6 separate regions of the Mus musculus genome follow, and all the other regions are reported to be linked to region 1. The links are microRNA targets in miRTarBase. Many come from high-throughput screens and were not tested one by one. Region 1 holds a microRNA gene; each other region holds the end of a gene's coding sequence.
Evidence for each region. Region 1 holds the annotated microRNA mmu-miR-425-5p (AAUGACACGAUCACUCCCGUUGA, at 1,312-1,334, shown strand). A microRNA usually pairs through its seed, bases 2 to 8, with sites in the 3' UTR of a target mRNA and lowers its output. Matches are read on the target gene's strand: a 7mer-m8 pairs with bases 2 to 8, a 7mer-A1 pairs with bases 2 to 7 and ends in A, and an 8mer does both.

Region 2: the mRNA of Ptprg is a reported target of mmu-miR-425-5p. The part of its 3' UTR that is shown has no 7-base or 8-base seed match.
Region 3: miRTarBase lists Zkscan1 as a target of mmu-miR-425-5p. Seed matches in the 3' UTR shown: 7mer-A1 at 1,857-1,863.
Region 4: miRTarBase lists Slc30a1 as a target of mmu-miR-425-5p. The part of its 3' UTR that is shown has no 7-base or 8-base seed match.
Region 5: the mRNA of Cemip2 is a reported target of mmu-miR-425-5p. The part of its 3' UTR that is shown has no 7-base or 8-base seed match.
Region 6: the mRNA of Slc6a6 is a reported target of mmu-miR-425-5p. Seed matches in the 3' UTR shown: 7mer-A1 at 2,538-2,544.

What each region holds. Positions count from the first base shown.
Region 1 is chr9:108,567,478-108,570,677 of GRCm38, forward strand. It overlaps Mir425 (microRNA 425), which reads left to right and starts at 1,300; the gene lies at 1,300-1,384. Dalrd3 (DALR anticodon binding domain containing 3) reads left to right here and starts at 2,415. Exons shown (of 12, transcript NM_026378.3): 1 at 2,415-2,598; 2 at 2,673-2,968; 3 at 3,087-3,200. The coding sequence starts at 2,434. Mir191 (microRNA 191) reads left to right here and starts at 842; the gene lies at 842-915.
Region 2 is chr14:12,237,290-12,240,489 of GRCm38, reverse strand. Ptprg (protein tyrosine phosphatase, receptor type, G) reads right to left here. Exons shown (of 30, transcript NM_008981.3): 30 at 1-2,763. The coding sequence ends at 2,617. Among named protein-coding and RNA genes, the nearest start is that of 3830406C13Rik, 45 kb to the left of the region's middle.
Region 3 is chr5:138,101,050-138,104,249 of GRCm38, reverse strand. It overlaps Zkscan1 (zinc finger with KRAB and SCAN domains 1), which reads right to left. Exons shown (of 6, transcript NM_133906.4): 6 at 1-3,200. The coding sequence ends at 2,768. Among named protein-coding and RNA genes, the nearest start is that of Zscan21, 14 kb to the left of the region's middle.
Region 4 is chr1:191,909,209-191,912,408 of GRCm38, reverse strand. It overlaps Slc30a1 (solute carrier family 30 (zinc transporter), member 1), which reads right to left. Exons shown (of 2, transcript NM_009579.3): 2 at 1-3,200. The coding sequence ends at 2,654. Among named protein-coding and RNA genes, the nearest start is that of 1700034H15Rik, 3.3 kb to the right of the region's middle.
Region 5 is chr19:21,855,780-21,858,979 of GRCm38, forward strand. It overlaps Cemip2 (cell migration inducing hyaluronidase 2), which reads left to right. Exons shown (of 24, transcript NM_001033759.2): 24 at 376-2,581. The coding sequence ends at 572. Among named protein-coding and RNA genes, the nearest start is that of Cemip2, 79 kb to the left of the region's middle.
Region 6 is chr6:91,754,735-91,757,934 of GRCm38, reverse strand. Slc6a6 (solute carrier family 6 (neurotransmitter transporter, taurine), member 6) reads right to left here. Exons shown (of 15, transcript NM_009320.4): 15 at 1-3,021. The coding sequence ends at 2,878. Among named protein-coding and RNA genes, the nearest start is that of Gm44981, 34 kb to the right of the region's middle.

The sequences.
Region 1 (3,200 bases):
AGGGGGTGTGGCCAGATGGTTTCTCCTTAAAATGGCTCCAAGTCTGGGGACAGCTAGAGCCAGCGGAAGGGCACGCCGTGGCAGTGCTGGAGTAGCTGTTCGAGTGGGACTGACTGGGCCAAACCGGACCAGACGTGAAGTAGACCGCGCCTGGAGCACCACCCCGCCCTTGCGCGCTCTGCGCGCGCGTACCGAGAGTCTCCCTCCCCCTGTCTTGAGCTGAGTCTAGGGCCTACTGGCGCATGAGTCCTTGGCGTCCCGCGGCATGGGCATCTCTGCGCACCGGTTCTGTCCTGGCCTCAGAGGAACTTTGTCGCGTTCTCTATCCGCTGGACTAGACGGGTGGGATGCTTGACACAAATGGGGCTTGGCTGTGGGGTTCTTTGCAGGGCCGGTTGCAATGGGCTTGGGGGGAGGCTGTCCTGCCGCTGCTATGTGGGCCAGTTTGGCCCCTGGCACTTCATGAGCTGGCACCGTCACCAGACAAAAGGTCCTAAGCTTTGGGGAGTCCCAGAAGTGGACACATGGGTTTACTTCCTCTCGGGTCTCACGGAATCGCTTCCCTCTTGACGGATTCCGAAGCCTGCCCGGTACAAGTGGCTCCTGCTTGGGACTCACAGGGCTAATCCAGCCCTTCTGATCTAATCCGGATCAGGACCTCGTCCCGGGGGATGCCCCCACCTTCTATTGTTCTGGGGCCCAGGTGAGCGTCTCATTCTCACTAGACTGGTTTAAAACACCTACTCCTTCCTACTCAGCCCACTGGGAAGGGATGGGCGGGTTCCGGTTTGGCCTCAGGGCGAGTGACCTGGGAGCAAGAGCCCTCCTCCAATGGCTGGACAGCGGGCAACGGAATCCCAAAAGCAGCTGTTGTCTCCAGAGCATTCCAGCTGCACTTGGATTTCGTTCCCTGCTCTCCTGCCTGAGCAGCGCCCTGGCCCAGATAATGTGGTCTCTATTCTCAGAAACACTACACTACTGGGCCATTCTGATCTCCATCTCTCAGGTGCACCCCCAGACTGATGGTGGCAGTCAGAGGCGACGAAAAAAGCTCGGGCTGATGGCCCTGTCTGGAATCCCTGGAGAACTCTGACCAGGGAGGTCCTGGGTCCTCTCTCTGAAGGGCCGCAATGGCGGTGAGTCCCACAAGGCCGCCCAGCCCGCAGCTCGCTAAAGATAGATCTTCACTTCCTGGGGAAAACCCACCCCAACCGTCTTCATGGAGGGAGAGTAGCTAAAATCACCAACTTGCTGGTGGGTCCCAGCCCTGCTAGCAGCTGAACCCACACCACAGCATGGAAAGTGCTTTGGAATGACACGATCACTCCCGTTGAGTGGGCACCCAAGAAGCCATCGGGAATGTCGTGTCCGCCCAGTGCTCTTTCGGCACCTCCCAAACAGGGCCTCATAGCCCCGGCCTTCCCGAACTTTTCCTATCTCTAGATGTCACTCCTCTCCGGAGCAAAGTTCACCGGTTGGATTCATTCATTACTGGGGGAAGTGGAGTTTCACGTTACTTGGAAACGAAAGAGTTTGGACATAGAAAAGCTCACCTGCAGCTTGCTCTACCTGAGAGCTCTGCTTATTTGGGTCTTCTCATCATCACATTTGTCTTAAACTGACCAGTTGCCTAAAGAACCAAAGGTGCCGGTAACACCAGTTTAAAGGAAAAACATTAAAGGCTGGTAATCCTGGAATCATGATGACTAATTCCTCGGGTATCAAGATGGGCAATTCTATCCGATTGGGCTTTTACTGGGAATAAAGACATTCCATACCGCAGCCGAGGAAAGGCGTACCAATAATCAGAACTCAAATTTTGCTTTGTTTCGTTACTTTTCCAAGTAGGCGGTAAAGAGTCTTTAATGGAAGACACGAGTGGTGGCACACACCTTTAATCCCAGTACTCAGGAGGCAGAGGCAGGTGGATTTCTGAGTTCAAGGACTTTCTGGTCTACAAAGAGTTCCAGGACAGCCATGGCTACACAGTGAAACCCTGTCTTGAAAAACAAAGTGTCATTAATGGTACAGCCTTATTCCTTTGACATTTCGTCTCGTGCGTCTGGCCTTTAATTTGTTTAAATGGGGCAGAAAAAGAAAAAAGAGACATAAACACAAAGATGTGAAACTTTGGTGGCAAAGTGTCTTGCCTGGTAACAAAGATCCGTTATCAAAGTAATAATTCGGGGTGACGATTTTTTTAAAAAGGAGGAAAAATGGACCCTCAAATTTGGAGGTTAGGGCTCATGAATACAGGAAAGGCCATCGGGAGGGAGAGCTGGAGGCGTGGGTAGAATGTAAGCTCACTTGGCATGCTCGATCGCTCTGGTCCATTCAGGAGAGTCCACGGCCGGATCCCCGCCCCCGCCAGGCGGACCTCCCGGAAGCTCTACGGATAACTTACTTCCTGTTCCATTTAGTCTTCCGGTCGCCATGGCGACCGGGCGCCTTGGGGTTGGCGAGACGCTGGAGGCCCTTAATGCAGCTGTAGGGCCTGGTAGCCCAGTGTGGTTTAAGGAAACCCATGCCCGGCACCTTCGTGTTCGAGACTTCTTGGCACCGCGAAGCGCGCTACAGGCGCGCTTCAGGGACGGCCAGGTGGGTGCGCTCCTGTGGGGCATGCCTAGCGGGATCCACGGAACTACGGCCCACTTACACACATCTGCCTGCAGGTGCCAGAGTGCGTGTTCCGTGCGGTCTCCTGCCTGCAGGGTCCCGGAGTGGCCCCTGTACTGCGCTGCGCGCCGACACCCGCGGGTTTATCGCTCCAACTACAGCGGCCCGCTGTCTTCGAACATGTACTCGGTGCCCTGGCCTCCTATGCTACTCCCGCCAAACCTGCCTCACCAGGCCCGCGAGTTGTCCTACACTGCCCAGCACTGCGCTGTAATTCGGGGACGCTCCGATTGAGCCAGCTGCGTGCCGTGCTCGTAGCCGATCATCTAGTACGGGTACTGCGTGCTCATGGGTAAGTGCGTGTTCGAAGCTATAATGGCAAAAGACCGAACATTTGGGGATAGAAAAGGTGGGAGTCATGATAATCTAAGCCTGGTCCGCAGGCTGAGACAGCCTCCCTTGCTTTGCAGGGTACGTGTGTGCTCAGTGCCCCCGGTGCGGGACCCTCACATGTCAACTTTCCTCCAGAAACTTCGGGTGGAATGGCCCACTGCCTCGAAGAGCACCTCGACCGAAACACTGAG
Region 2 (3,200 bases), not on the chromosome of region 1:
CAAGAAACTTTTCGGGTGTCTCTAATACATCTGTGATATCCTGCACATCCACCTGATCAAATTATAACAATTCCGCTTCATTTGGTTTGTATATTTCATTTCCCTAGAGGTAAATTCATAAAACCAGCATATCTCATAAACTTTCACACTAGCTTTACCAATAGTTATATCTTTTCCCTCGACTGTAAATAGTACTAACCTTATATACTTAAGCCACGTGCTTATGTCTCAAAGAAAACATCTTTGGAACTCTTTGCCTCTGGAAAGATGCAAAAACATTTTTGCCAATAGCAAAGAATAGTGAACATACAAATTGTGGTGAATGTGAGGACTGAAGAGAGCTGAAGGTAACTATCACCCCCAGTAAAGGGCGTGTGGACCACTTTGGCAAAATGGGCACATAGCAACTGCATGTAGTCCAGTAGGCTGGCATCTGTAGGCTTTGGCTCAAGCCTGCTGTAGACATGTAGGCTGCCCACAGGAAGCCTCTCCCCCGCCTTGATTGTACTTCTGTTGTACTTCTTTCTCCCTTTCTCCCATTCTTCTTTCACTCGTGTAAGAGAGAGCCCCAGAACTGTAGAGTATGCATTTTCATGAATTGAATCTTGTGTAAACAGCACAGAAGTAATACTTGCCATTTGTCTTCTAGACAATGTTATTTTTACTACGAGACAATTGAGAGACTGAACTCCAATTCAAATGTTAATTCCACTGAGCATCTAACTGAAAAGCATTAGCTAAGATCAGATCTGTGCACAGCAAAAAGAATCTGCTCGATTGACTGGGAAGCTCATACCACAATCTGAAACCTTTTCCTTCCTTATTTCCCACAGCCTCTAAGAGTTATGTTTCTTATGGTCAATCCTTTGTATTGTGCAGAGGTGACCCCTCTGGTGGGGCTGCAGGGGTTGGTAAATCCATCTAGCACAGATATGTTAGTGGATTCGGCTCAGCTGCTCACCAGTTTTGAAAGCCAGCCTCCCAATTCTCTGTGTGTTCTCTTAGGTCTTTGTGCACACACTATCTTCATGGGGCTCTATTGGCCTGGTCCATGCGTTGAAAGCTCTGGGCTTGGCCTGTGACTCTCTCCTTACCAGCTCTGGCTCTCCAGCACTTCTGTGACTAGTTCCAAAAAACAACCCACGAACAATAAAGCCGCATTCACACTGAGATGCTGCCCTCCTCTTCAGAAAGCTTTTGTCATAAAGAAGAAACCAATCTTGGGGGATTTCAATTCTGGCAGAAGTTGACTTTCAAAAGCAAAGAGGAGAAGGAAGATACAGATCCTGATTAATAGCTTAGTGGATTTTGTTTTGTTTTAAACAAACTCAAGTGAAATTTCGAAATAATGCTTCCAGTTTGCCCATATGTACTACGTGCTGAAAGTAGCTCCAGACACTGGCCTCTGGGCTTCCTAATGACTACTGCCATCTTTTATAAATGTACATTTGTTTGTGAGCATCCGCATCTCTTCCTTAAAACCCAGTCTAAAATGGAGATGCCATCTTTCATTCAAGAACTGGATTTTCTCTTTAAGATTCCTATTTCTTTCTCAAAGTAAGACCTATAAAAATTGACTCCCAAATATATTTCCAATTCAATCTTAAGTAGAGTTGGATGTAATTAAGAGATTTATTATGAAACATTTGGCAAAAAAAATGCTGTCTATAGGTAGTGTTTATTAGATTGCTATAGGAGTAGTTAGTAGGGACTTTTCAAAGACTACGTTTAAATGTCAATACCTATTTTGTGGTTGTAGCTACTATGGTACTATTTACCAAAAAGCTATAGTTGAGTTAACTAAAGAGTGTCATAAGTAAATTGTGTAAAATAAGGCCATCTTCCCATTGTAAAAGACAGCCCTGATTTTAGGGTTTGCTACTTCAGAGAGTCAACATAGAAATAACACACACTGTCCACATAGCTACTGTGAAATCTGTAATACAGAATGATTCTTTATTTTGACACATTTCAACTGTGAATATAACTTGGTAACTAATAAGAGATGTTCACATGAAGTAACTCTGAAGCCCTCTTAACTTCTTAGTGGTCCCTCAACCATTACAAATGGAACTGATGCCAACAGATCTATAGGGCTCCCAGTCACCTGCTGTCCTGCAAAAGGAGACAACGCCCATCCACTCCATTAAAACAGAAGGCATGTAGTATTGAACAGTGCCTAAAAAATAGAGGGGACTGAGAAAAGTACACTGTTGCCTGCTAAGAAATTGTAGTTGCTTTAGAATAATAGTAAAACTGAGATTCACTGTCATAACAAAGACCTTCACTGCACGGAACTAAAAAATAGCATGTATGTGGTCATGGAATGTCACATCAGGGTTTCTGTAGTATTAGATTATAGGCAGTTAACACTGATCATATAGTGCAAACTAGGTAAAGTTGCGTTTCACTGTGTGAAATGAAGAACAGGCGCAAATGCTCAGTAGGATACCATTAAGACAGAAAATGGCAAAAAATAAATATCAAAACTTTTATCAGTGTAAAAAAGTAACTGGGTTATTGTATAACCTAGAGTCTGGCAAAAAAGGCCTCAAAAAATTTCTGTCTTTACAAGTCTCAGAAGTTTACAAATGAAGTGCCCTTCCAGGGGACTAGTCACACCAGAGACTCCATGCTCTCTGCAGGGTCTGATTCCTCTGCAGTTAGCACAGCACCGTTTTTGTCCCCGGTCATGGGACCATTTCCATTTTCTTTAGTACTGATCAAGCTGAGCATTGCTTTGTAGACAAACTGGTATTGTTCCTGGAAGACAAGAGGAAAGAGTTGGTTAGACATTGATTGAATCTAAGATGGAAAGACTACTCAAAAATATACTTCTAAAAAAAACACTCCCCAAAAGACAAGAAGAGCAGAAATTGTATCTAAGAAACTTTAAAAGCAACCACTTGAAGCCTTAATCACTGAGTTCTACAGCATTTCATGTCCTGCTGGTCTGTTAGCATGGAATCTGTTGCAGTGTTGGTGACTCCCTAAGATAACGGAATATCCTTATTTTGAAACTAGACCACACACTACTATTAAGCAGAGGGTTTTTTTTTTACCTTTTAAGTACAACATTACTGATATTCTGGGCTAGATAATTCTGTGTTGGCAAGGGTTGCCTGTGTATTGTAGGGTGTTTTCCAGTAGCTTTGGCCTTTACACACTAAATGCCAGAGATGTCCAGTTGTGAAACCCAG
Region 3 (3,200 bases), not on the chromosome of region 1:
GTTCAAAACTTGAAGAATCTGGCTTTTGTTGTAAAGTACATTTAAGAAGTCTTAAAGTTCCATCATGTCAATCGGCATGCTGATGGTTAACTAATAAGCACTTAGGCTGTTAACTAGCCTGAGCACTAACGACAGATGTCACCACATTTGACCACGATGCAGTGACACTGCTGAGCATCTAAGAAATTTGGATAACCACCTATAGTCAGCTTTCTAAGTAAAATGTATTTTCAGGTGGCTGCCTCCAGGACTGCATCCATGGAAGATCTGGAGCCATCCCAGTGACTATCTAATAGTAAAACGTTCCAGTAAAATGGAAATCAAATGAGGGATGGGATCACAGGTCAGTCTTAATTTCATTTAAGAACAAAGAATAACGGCTGAAGTGCACCAGCATGTGGTTAATTGTCTGTGTATAAGCAGCCAAAAGGGAAATGACCAAAGTCCTTTCTTGGGATCAAAGCCAGTGTCTCGATGTGCTCCTGGAGTCCTGTACCTTATTTCAGTTGCTTTAAAAAAAAAAAAAAACAAAAACAAAAACAAAAAAACCCAACACAAAACAAGACAAAAAACCAAACAGGCCAGAGCTCTCACACAAAAGTCCACCATTAATATGACTCATTCCTTTAAGAGAACCTTAAAAAGCACCTCTTTATCTCCACCTCACTCCAGAAAGTGAGTCAGGTGCAATCCTCAGAGTAGCTCTGTTGATTTTCAGCTGGATGGATAGAACACTCACTGGCAGCACTAAGCAAACAGCTCAGATGCCGCCAGAGATTAGGATTGGTCTAAGAAATAAAGTCAAGCAAGAACCAGTGATTGTTTGTAGGATTCTAGTCTGACTTGGAACAGAGGTCACAGGTACCAACCTGATGAGACCTGCTGCTATTGTGTCTCACCGACTTTTGCTGCTGGTCACCAGTGAACAACTGGTGCAAGGTGATTTTAGTTGTTTCTTGAGGGGAAATCTCAACCATAGGCGGGGTGTCCATGTCAACAGTCTTCAAGTTTGTCTTTAGCTTATGTTTCTAGGGTTCTGTAGGGCTGTCCACACTATCTCAATGCTTCCTTAAATAAAGCTGTCTGTTCAAGATCCCAATACCTGCATAGCTTGATACTTGGGGTCTCCTGTATGTGTTATGTCTCCATCAAGAGCTTCTGGGAAGCCACCTGCAGAGATGACAGGAAAGGCTAAAGTCCCCTAACCTCACTTCCTCACTTTAGTCTTTCATGAGAAACAGAAAAGACACTGTGTGTTATTAAATACAGTGACACAACCAACCACACTGGTGTGGTGGTGAACTTCTCAGAGCTACAGGACATCTTAAGTTACTGCTGGCTAATGATGACAGATGCTTCTACAAGTTTCTGGTTAAATGTGAGAGGAAAAATGCTCCCTTAAACTTTCCCTTTCTCTGAGAAATAAAACAAATAAAAAAAAAAACTTTAAAAAAAATCAAACAAAAGAACAACAACAAAAACCCTTCACATCTTTTGAACAGGATTGGCTAAGTGATGAACAACTCAGCAAGTGCTCAAAATGCCACCATTTAGCAGCTCACTGAAAAGAACTCTGGCCAAGAACAAGAGCTTTGCTGTGGAATGATGTCACACAAACAGAAACTTCATAGTTAGTGTTCATAGTTTTCTTCTGTACGTGGATGACAAGAATCCTTTCTGATACTCTGTGGTATTTACTTACTGACCCATATTTGCAGTCTCTGCAGGTAGCTGACCAACCTTTGTTTATACTTAGGACAAAATAACATTGAGTCCAGAATACATTATAGCATGTCCTGTAGGTCTGAAGGTACCATAGTTCAGGTACTCACATGATTTACAGACCCTACCACAAATATGACAGTGATGTTAGAAGTCCGTCCTAAGGAGTGCCTTGTGTGTGTTTAGTACTACATCCAGTGCTGTGCTGTCTGGAACATAACTATATTTCTTGACAACTGAAGCATCTTTTTGGGGGAGTGGTGATTGATAAAAGCTTCCAACACTGAAGGATGAAAAGATGGTATACAATCAAGTGCTAATTTGTGGAGAGTGCATTTAGGCGTTCTAGAGTGCTTTAGGGATGTTGAAGAGGAAGAGAAGCATCTTGAATTGTTGCTATTTCAGTAGGACTGATCTCACTGATGGGGGCAGGCCCATCCACATTTGTTACAGTCCTTGGAACTATAAACTGGTGCATATGCCCTCTTTCAGAAAGAGATAGAAATCTTTGGTTTGATTCTGACCAACACAGTCCTAGATTTCTATAGCTTTGGCAGGCTACCAGTGATCAGATATAGAACCTTCTGGATTTACAACTTGCTCAAGCAGCATGTCCCAATGTAGTTTTTGTATTAACTATCTCTCTTCATTGTGAAATACAAGTTGTCTAATTAGGGTTTGTTTGCAGCAAGTGGCTTAACCAGTATAATATTCACAGAGCTGATCTTGACTCATCAACTATATGGTGTGGTTGCTGGGAAGCAAACCTTAAAGGTATACCCATGACTAGAAAGCTTGACAGTTTACTGTGCATGCTTTTATCTTGAGTGCAGGAATATCCACACGGCCAGCTTTCCCTTACACGGACTTTAAGAATTGCATGTCTACAGACTTCCTGAAGGGAGGACATGGTTGATGTAACTGTTAGAGACCCTGAAGTGTGACTTCCCAAACAATTCGATGGTGCTATTACTTTTCCCTCGATGGGTACATAGGTAATTCCAGAAACAAAAGGGGGGAAATGGCTTGACGAGACACTCCTGCTTTACACACAACTTTTCAGGAATGCCCCAAAGGCATCCAGAGAGGCTGGGCTGTATTCTGACGTTCTCTCTCTGGCATGGATTCTGTGGTGCAGTGTGAGGGTCGAGCTCCGGGTGAAGGCCTTGCCACACTTAGTGCACTTGTAGGGCTTTTCTCGGGTGTGAATTCTCCGATGCAAAATAAGGTATGAGTTTCGGTTGAAAGCTTTTCCACATTCGCTACATTCATAGGGCTTCTCTCCTGTATGGATTCTCTGGTGCTTCGTGAGGTCTGAGCTCTGGCTGAAGGCTTTGCCACACTCGTTACATTCATAGGGCTTCTCTCCAGAGTGGATGCGCTGGTGCAGGATGAGATTTGAGCTATGGCTGAAGGCTTTGCCACACTCGTTACATTCATGAGGTTTCTCTCCCGTGTGGATTCGCTGATGAAGGACA
Region 4 (3,200 bases), not on the chromosome of region 1:
ACATTAGGTTTTCTTTTCCCTCAAAATTTTCAGGAACTCAAAATAACAGATGCTGACAAGACACACACATACAAACAGCCTCCCGAGACCCTCCAAGGTAAACTTGATGGAAACCCTCCCTGCTCAAATTATGCCTCTTAGGATAAAGGTACCCAGCATTTTGTTTTGGGTGTGAAAATACAGTAAAATGTTCCAGAATTGTTTTTCATGTTCTGGCTTGTCCATCTACAATGTAGATAATCCACCCCCAACCCCCCAGAAAAGAATTACTCCCACAAGGTAAAAGCTGACCATGGGAAAGCAAGTCCATTGTTCCAAGGCTGCACATGGCTTGGAAGGATCCTGTTTGAGTGTATGCTTCCTCACTCAGCTCCACACTGACCTGGCTCAAGTGAGAAGGAACCAGGGAAGCCTCCCCCTACCCCAACCCCCACCCCAACCCCCCTGCAGCCCTGACTTGGGAGAGGAAGCACATTTAAACAATGGGATAGTCCCCAAGAGGCCAAGGTAGCTCCTCATTTTCTTTCAAGAAATATGCTATTTTTGGAAAAGACACTCAAATCCCACAACATTTAAATATAAAAACATCTTTTCTTCTTAAAGATAATGCTAATATAGCTAAAAAATGGGTTAGAAAGTGCATTGTAAAGAAATAAATAATTCTCTAAAACCTCAAGGTGAGTTGGCGCCCATGGACTTTGCTGTAACAAACACCTTTGAAAAAAAAAAAAAAAGCCTACGGTACCACTTTTATACATAGAACCCACTTAACCCAGGCCACCACCACCTTAAAGCACTTCTGAAAATCAGACTGACACAGCCCTCCTCCCCATGACATAAACCTGCCCAGAGGTTCTGAAGGCCACCTCCTGGATGGCCTCCTGTACCCCTGTGGAAACACTGAACCCTTCTGCACAGTACCATCCGAGACAACTGGAGCTCCCGCTCACACCACTCACAGAGCTCTCAATTTCATGTTTTTTTTAAAAAACAAATGTTTTGTTAAAGTCAAAGTAACCACCTGCCAAGGGGTCAGATCACATATTAGTCAAGTATTATGTAGGTTGAAGGTTGGCCCAGTGTAGTAAATGTGAGCTTACAAACTATGTTCCAAAAATTACATTTCTTATCAGAAAACCCAGCTGTTCTTATGTAGGCCCATTGCCAGCAACAGGCTTATTACACTAGGGGAGCGACCATTCCTTAAAGTAACTGTCATACTCTAACACTTCCATTTTCAGATTATTAAGCAATGAATTATTTCAAATCCCAAAAGTTAACTTTCCCAAAAGTAGTCAGCTATAAAAGTTATTGAAGTAGTCAGAATACTTTGTTCCTAGAAAAATAGAGCTATACATAACTGATATTAATAATCACTCTTTTGAAGACAAAAATCTACATTTCCTTCACAAAGCATTAACCTTTCTGGAAAAAATAACTTAAAAATCTTCAAATGTCTGCGTTGGATTTGAAATCTGTGGCAATGGAGCAGCCGTGAATGACTTCCTGGGTGCAAAGTGCAGAGTCCTGCAGAGAAAGCACTTTGCAAGCCAGCATGCCAAGGCACGGTGGCTAAAGATCCAAGCCTTCCTCTTACTGGTTTTGCTTTCTAAAGTAATATCCAAATTGCATGAGCCATGTGATTTCATTTTTAAGTCACTGGCTCTTGGCTAAGCACACACTGTGTTGGCTGCCCATGAAGAAATGTATTCATTCCATCTGATGGGTCACTATGGAAGTTTCTTTAAGACATAATTTAAGATTAATAGTTTGCAGTTAAGGAGCCAAGACAAGCCTGCATTCTCAAAAAATACTCATGCATTTAGAACCATTTAACTCAATGTTGCTAATACCAGTCTTTGAAAGAAAGCAACACTGGCAAACATGTTTAGACTGACTTTGGTAGAATAAAGCCATTAGAGATTTTCAAGATACTTTAGAGCTATAATCAGCATTATTACTGTGAAGTAACGGACGTAGCTGTAGCTTGCCTTCCTCCCTGCTCTTAGCCCCTATATGCTCCACGATGTGTAACTACAACTCATCTTGTGAATTATCTCAGAGTTTACTAGACTATTCCTCAGCAGCAGAGAAAACAAAGTAGTAACTAAACTGACTTTCTGCTAAGAGTCATGACTCTGGAAATATGCTGCCATTATGGTCTGTTTATGATCTCAAAGGGCAAGCAACCATCCCCTCAAACATCAAAGGAGACAAACTTGATGATTTTAAAGGCCTAGCAATTATAATCCTAACAGATAAGATATAGCAATGGGGGGGGGGGGGGAAGAAAAGCAGAGAAATTCCAGTAACAATTTTATTTATCCCCCTAATTTTTATCATGGGAAAACCAGGAATCAAATTTCATTATGTCATATAAGATTTATACTTACTTTAAACAAAAATGTAACATAGTGTTAAAACTGGCTTTCAAACGTGTTCCAGCATAGCTGCACTATGCACTAAGAATCACAAGGCTGCAATGTAGCACTCTCTATTAGGCAGTTCCATTATGTTCTTACAAAAATAGAATTAAACTGTGCGACCAGACAAGGACTTCAATTACACTACTTGGCAAACTTAGTATTTCAATGGAGTCTATTTTCTCTTGCAGTTTAAAAGCAAAAGTCAAATATCACATCTTTTTCAAGACTCACAAAGATGATTCGGGCTGTTTGTTTGGCACGTTTTTAATCTCTATCACCACAGCAGGGAGACTGCCTTCAGCTTTAGTCCTCCTGGCCTTCTTCTCTAGATTCTCACTGAGTTCTAAACAAGAAATGCTAACTGTTGGCGCCTTCTCTGCATCCTTCCCAGAATGCACCTGTGGCCGTGTCCCGCAGCACTGCTTCAGGGCACACTGAGTTCTGCAGGCGAGCTCACACGGGAGCACACTTGACTTAGAGCCGACGCTAGCGAATTCAGGCTGGATGGTGGTAGCGTGGATTCCATGATTATGAAAGACATCTTTAATGGTCTTGGCCACCTGCATGTAGGAAGCGGGGTCCTCACATTTTATGTGGGCAGTGGCGATGATCCTGCTTCCCGCCAGCTGCCAGACATGTAGCTCATGGACTTCCTCAACGCCGTCAACGTCTCGAAGCTCTTTCACCAAGTGTTTGATATCGATTTGCTTAGGGACAGTTTGTAGAAGAATGAGAGCAGACTCCTTGAGCAATGGGTAAGTCGTGTACAGAAGT
Region 5 (3,200 bases), not on the chromosome of region 1:
CCTGGGATGACCCTATGATGCTGCAGTGAATGTATCTTTTTGGTGGTGTTTGTGTGCTAGACTATTCTCATGAGCTCTGCCCGCAGTGAGCATTGTAAAAATTGTTTCTTGATAAAGGACTGTGTCAAAGAAAGTGTGTTGGGATATGGCTTGTCATTTGGGAGGCAGGAGTTCATTGTTGATGTAAGGAAGTGCAGGTGTGCAGGTGTTTTTTTTTTTTTAAATCTATATCTGTATTTATAATTATATATATATATACACACATATAAATATAAAAAATCCTGTCTTTGTTTTGTTCAACTCTGACTCATTTCCCTCGTTATCTTGTAGGAAATAGCTATACACTTTAACTTTTCTCTCCCTCTCTTTTTATAGGTAGTGTCGTATTTTTGGGATTCAGCGGAAACTTCGCACCGTCATGGACGAAGCTGTTCACCAGTCCCGATGAGCAGGGCCTCGGAGTGCTTGAGCAGTTTCTCCCGTTGCAGATGGAGGAATATGGGTGCTCCCGGACCGGCAGTGTCCACAGAAGAGACCTTGACCTGTTACAGCAGGCTTTGAAAGTGCTTTAGAGACTTGGTTGTAATTTAAGTGCTGGGAAAGAAAAAAAAAATGTGAACTAACTTATTTAATTTATGGCATTTTAAGACAACACTGTTAACCCGATGGAACCATTTTCCTGTTTGATAGAAAAGGGAGAGAAGGAATCCAAGCAGTTACCTGAGTGTCAGCTTGCAGGCCTTGGCACTGTGCAGGTGGTAGAGCCCTTTTGTCTTCCTGAGGCTGCTGCGTTCAGAGAGCAGTTGGTCTCGTGGCCCTTGCTTTGACAAGCACATCGGGGGTGCTTTGCTTTTTGTATAGTGGGGTGCAGGGAGTCCAAGGGCTCCTTGAACTTGCTCCTTCGAGGACTGGCTGCTCTAGCATTTCAGATACTTGAAGTCCAATGCTCAGTCCTGCGCTAACTCCAGTCGCTGCCCTGTTCAGTGATGTCTGGGGCTCATTTCTGTACAGCCCACGAGGGTTTTATGTGATGCTAGATATGGTTTTAAGTGGCAACTCAGGCCCAGCACATGTCCTTTTTGCCTGGTCATGTGCTCTTTTTATTCACTTGTATACTGATTACTTTTGAGGGTTCACCTTTCAAAGAGGGAACCTTATTGGGACAAAAGGGCTTTTGAAATTTTTTAGATCTGTAACCATTGAGGAAAAAAAAAGAAAGAAAGAAACAACAACATAAACCTATTACTTGCATCCAGGTGGAACTTTTTCTGCAGCTTTAATCCTTAACCTGTCTTGACCTTTAAAACGCAGAGCGGAACTGAATTAATTTTCTTTAAAAGCAGCAAGCCACTTCCTAAACTGTAAAACTCTTGTCATTTGAACTTGCAAAAGAAAGCCAGGTGTGGTGGTGCACGCCTTTGATCACAGCACTCCAGGAGCAGGTGGATCTCTGAGAGTTTGAGGCTAGCCTGGTCTACGTAGTGATCCAGGACAGCCAGGGCTACGTAGAGAAACCCTGTCTCAAAAGAAACAAAACAAAACAAAACAAAACAAAATCACTCTGTCAACAAAAGCTAACTTGCAAAAGGGAAACCTGTCCTTGGTTTTGGTCTTGTACCTGTGCTTTGTTGTCTTGTTGTGTGGATTTTTTTTTTTTCCAAGCGGCTCTGCTCATTGTCCTACCAGAAAATCCCAGAGAGTTTCCCGCTTGCTCCTCCATAAATATTGTATTCAAGGAAAGAAAGGAGATGCCTTCTTAGGGTGGAATCATGGAGGCAATGGACATGATCTTCTTTGTAGCCTTTAAAAGAGGGAGTCTCTTAGTGAATGTAGCTTTCAAAGACAAGAAGAAAGGACTCTGGGTCTCCCAGTGCTGCTTCTACTGGCCCTTTCTTCAGCCAGTGGGGACACATGTGGCAAAGGATGCTGGCTCTGCAGCCAAGAGGGAAGATGGCATCAGAATGCTGCTGTGCTGCCCAAAGGCGGGTGGCTGAATAGCCAGGCTGACGGTAGCAATTGAGTGCAGAAAAGTTCATCTTCCTCCGTGGAGGGCCGAGGCTGATGCCTGTATGTTGTGTCCAGGAGACATTCTAGGACAGCTCTGTGACTTGTGTAACTTTACAGAACATGCTACCTCAAAGTGCTGTGACAAACCATTTGGACTGTAGTGCTCACAGGATGGGCACGTGTCTTAATCAAAGTTTGGTTACTTGTTTATCCGGGTTTTTTGGATGTGGGGTTTTTTGTTTGTATTTTTTTTTCTTTTTCTTTCATTCTTTTTTTTTTTCTTTTTTTTTTGTACAGTGAGATCTTACCTATTAAATATATTTAGTGGGTCATGGTTCCTGAAGGTGAGTGAATTGATTGTGTGTGCAGATGTGTGTGTGTTATGACTTAAATATATTTGTTTTGTGCTGTTTTAGAGTTCCTTTTTTATATATATTTGGAGAAAGTATGCAAGTTTCAAGGCACTCAGTGTTTCTGATTTTTATGTACTAATAATTAGGGCCTAAGTTAAATAAATAAAAACGTGTGTGCATGTATTTTATGTATGTGTATTTGTGAATCTCTGTAATTGCTGAGGTCTCAGATTCTAGCTTTAAAGAAGTTAGTGGCAGTAGGAAAGGTTGACCATTCACACAGCAGATTTGTAAGGCAGAGTTAAAAGGGAATAAGTTTTACGATGAGGGGGAGACCAGGTTTCATTGCATGTTGGATTCACCTGCAGGGTCTAAAAAACCCAGCGGTCTGAATCCCACTGGCTTCTCTCAGATTAGAGTTCATTGATTTTGGGTGTAGCTGGGACATGTGATATCTTTTTTTTTCATTTTAATTTTTTATTAATTTAAGTTTAAGCTCCTTGGGTGATTCCAACATGCAGCCATGTTGGAAACACTGTACGTACAACCCCACTGTTCAGCTTTCATCTGAAAAAATTGTTGTGATTAAAAAACACCTGCACGTGTCTGTATGTTCTTTTGAGACCTCCCTACATTGATCACAGGATTCTCAGTCTTAAAGTATCTTACTGCCGGTACTTTTTAAAAGGCTTTTTCAAATGTACCTTTCTATCTGCGGTCTTTGCTTTTTAGGCACACAGGCAAATGCCCAGGTTTCACTGCATTCTCTTTGTGCTGAGAAAATGTGTTCCAAGGTAATTTACAACTGGGCGGGGGCGCATTTTCTCTCAGGTGAGGGAC
Region 6 (3,200 bases), not on the chromosome of region 1:
AGGGAAAAGAAACCCTCTCAGGCTACTTCCTGCATAGCCTTGGGCTACATGGAGGTCAAAGGCCTGCCCATACACCCTAGCTAAGGCTCTTCACACTAGTGATGTCTTTGGCCCTCAGTTTCCTGTGGTACAACTTGAGGGGAGGGTGTATCAATTCCTAGTTCCCAAAGGCTTTGGAGGAGAAAGGAAGGAAGGAAGGGTGGCACGGGGCCGGGGTGAGCAGGGCGGTAAGGACTGGCACACGTGGGTATTGCTCTGTGTTCCATGAATATGGAGCAAGGGCCCTCATCAGCTCTGGCCTTTGGTTGACAGGGAAGGCTTGACAGTTTACTTAGACAATGCCCTGGACCTGCCTTCCCTCTACTAAGTCTTGGAGAACCTGAAGCTACAAATGACTCAAATGTCCAGTTCCACTTAGCTCACAGTGTAAGTCCCCACACTAGGCCTATTCTCCTGATTACATAAGTGCCTTGGATCAGGGCCCTCTGGGGCTGCCCACAGTGCCCAGCAGGGACCCTCCATTTGGGAGGTCACATCACTCTTAGGACCAAATAACATCTCCCAGGGTCTCCTGGGCCCACCTAATGTCCTCATCTAAACCAGGCAATGTCCCTTGCTTCCTGTCTCCATCTGACAGGCAGGACAGGATCTGGCCTGTTCCAGGCAAGGGCTGGTTGGTGAACAGCTTAGCCCTCTCTCCAGGAGGCAGGCGGACCAGAGTCACGAGCTCTACTTCAAAATGTTACTTACATGCAGACGTGAAAAGACAAGCATCACAATAAGGGTCATCAGGGGCAGGGGCGGGGTGAGAGTGGGGGCCACTGAAGACAGGTGAGGGGACACTGCTGGGGAGTGGGCTCGGGAGGCGGCTGGCCTTCCAAATCCAGGCAGGGCCTGGGGACTTGGCCCGCTGTGTCTTTGGTCTAGAATTCGATCTGGGAATGATTAAAAAAAGCCTTTCTCAGGCCATTTCCAGAATGGTGCCATTTGTCTGCCAACCCAAAATACTGAAGGCTCGCCAGAGGGGCGTGCCCGGTGGGGGTTAGGGGTAGGGTAGACGGGCATGACCACAGACACTGCCACAGCTGGACGAGCCCCCCTCTCCCTTACACTTCACCTGTCTTTCAGTCACCCACAGTGGTTACTTTTAAGGTTCCGTTGAACGAAAGAAAACCAGGGTACATTACAAGTCGGTAAAATCGGGGAAGGAGAACTCCAAACACTCAAAATAACACGAGAGCAACCAGAAATACACAGGACAACAGGAACACAGTACAATCATGGGTGGCTGAGTCAACAGCCACTGGAAGAGGATTAGAGGGTCACTTGGCAGAGTACATTGCTTTGGAGACAGGAAAAAATGTGTACATTTGTCAAAGAAGTTCAGGATGGCACAGTTGGGCCCAGTGGAGGCTGGGGTGAAGGTGTAGTGCCCTCTCCTGGTTCAGAAGCTGACATTGGGCAGCTCTGGAGTACTGACCTCACTTCTGTGGAGATAGCTTCAACTGACCGAAACTTCCCTTCGCCTTCCCTCTGCCGTCCCCTGGGGGCAAACGCCTGTCCAACAGCCAATGCAGTGGCTTGGAAATCATCTGAGGTCACTACCAAGCTGGCTCTGTACTGGAACTCAGATCCTTTAAGATCCAGGGTCTACAGCCACTTGGAGCACTCCTTGCTGGGAGCTGCTGGATGGTTCTGGGGTGGTAACTTTCACAAGAGTTTGTCAAGAGGCAAGGAAGAATAGTGCCCTCCTGGGGTACACTTGCCAGCCTGGGGTACACTCACCCTCCTGAGCTGCTAATATCATTTGGTCCACTGGCCTCCCTCACCCCGGGCCCTCACCAAAATACATTCTGCTTGGGGAATACTCTGGTCACCACCCACCATGACTCCACTCAAATACCGCAGACACTTCCTGAGTGTGACCCCCACTCTGAAGCCCCAGCAGCTCCTGTGGCCTGGCTTCGGGCAGCCATACTGAGTGTTCAAGAAAGGACAGGGATTCGGCCTACGCCTGCAGAGGCAGGCTCCCAGACCTGAGCCACATCCTCACCAGACATTCAGACGTCCCATCCCTGCCTGTAATACCCATGGTGGTTCAGCCAGTCCCACTGACTACCACCCATGTCTTCTTCCAAGTAAGAGGGCAGGCGTTTGGCCCTGGTACAACCGCTTCAGCTGCTCTGAGATCTATCATTCATGCTGAGGGTGGGCCAGTATTTTGGCATCTTTCTTGTTGGCTGAGGGTCCATAGCCCTGCTCTCTCCTGCCCCTCAGGTCTGTTCAGCTAGTGGGGGGGGGGGGCTCCCTCTCCTCAGCTGTGTTCTTCCTCCTGAACCAGCTCAGAAGGGACTACACCGTTCTTGAAGATGTATCCACTATCATAGGAAAATTCCACCCAGCATTCAGGTTTTTTTTTTTTTTCTCTTTTTTCATTTGTTTTTGGGCAGAACTTTCTGCCAGCTATATAAGCACCGAAGAATTGCTTTTGAAAAACGAGATCCATTGCTGGCAAGACCAATTCAAGTGGCAAAGTGTATGACAGACTCTAAGTATATATAGTTATATGTTAAAAAAAATACAAAGAAAAATTTACCAAGTTCCCACAAAATACATGGAAATCAATATGAAAGTCCATCCTCTTCCCCAGGACGTAGGCCTATGGGTTTTCTTTTTGTACAAAATATCCCCCAAACAAAACAAAACACACATATACAGACATACACGATACACATACACACACACATAGAGTAACATTTTCTGTGACAATTAAAAAAAAAAATCCTAGTACAAATATAAAGCTCTGTAAACCTGGTCCTATGAGAATCTAACGTTAGTAAACAGCAGGAAAGCGGCGCCTGTCACATGGCCCGGACCTCACATCATGGTCTCCACAATGACGTGACTGGGTTTCATGAGTGCGCCGTTCATGAGGGTTACTCGGGAGTGAAAGGGTGTGGCCCCTTCACGCTCCACAGCCCAGCGGTTGGGCTCCCTGGGGGTTATCAGGTATTTGATTCTCTGTGGAAGAAAGAGGAGCAGATCAGGAGTGGATTACGGAGGGTCCTTCCCACCCACCTCTAGAACATCCCAGGCATCTGCCACCCTTTCTGGCCCTTTTATGGATCTTTTCTAAATGGAGTGATCCCCCCAGCCAACCCCTGTATTCTTGCTTACAGACAGGGTACACACATGACCTC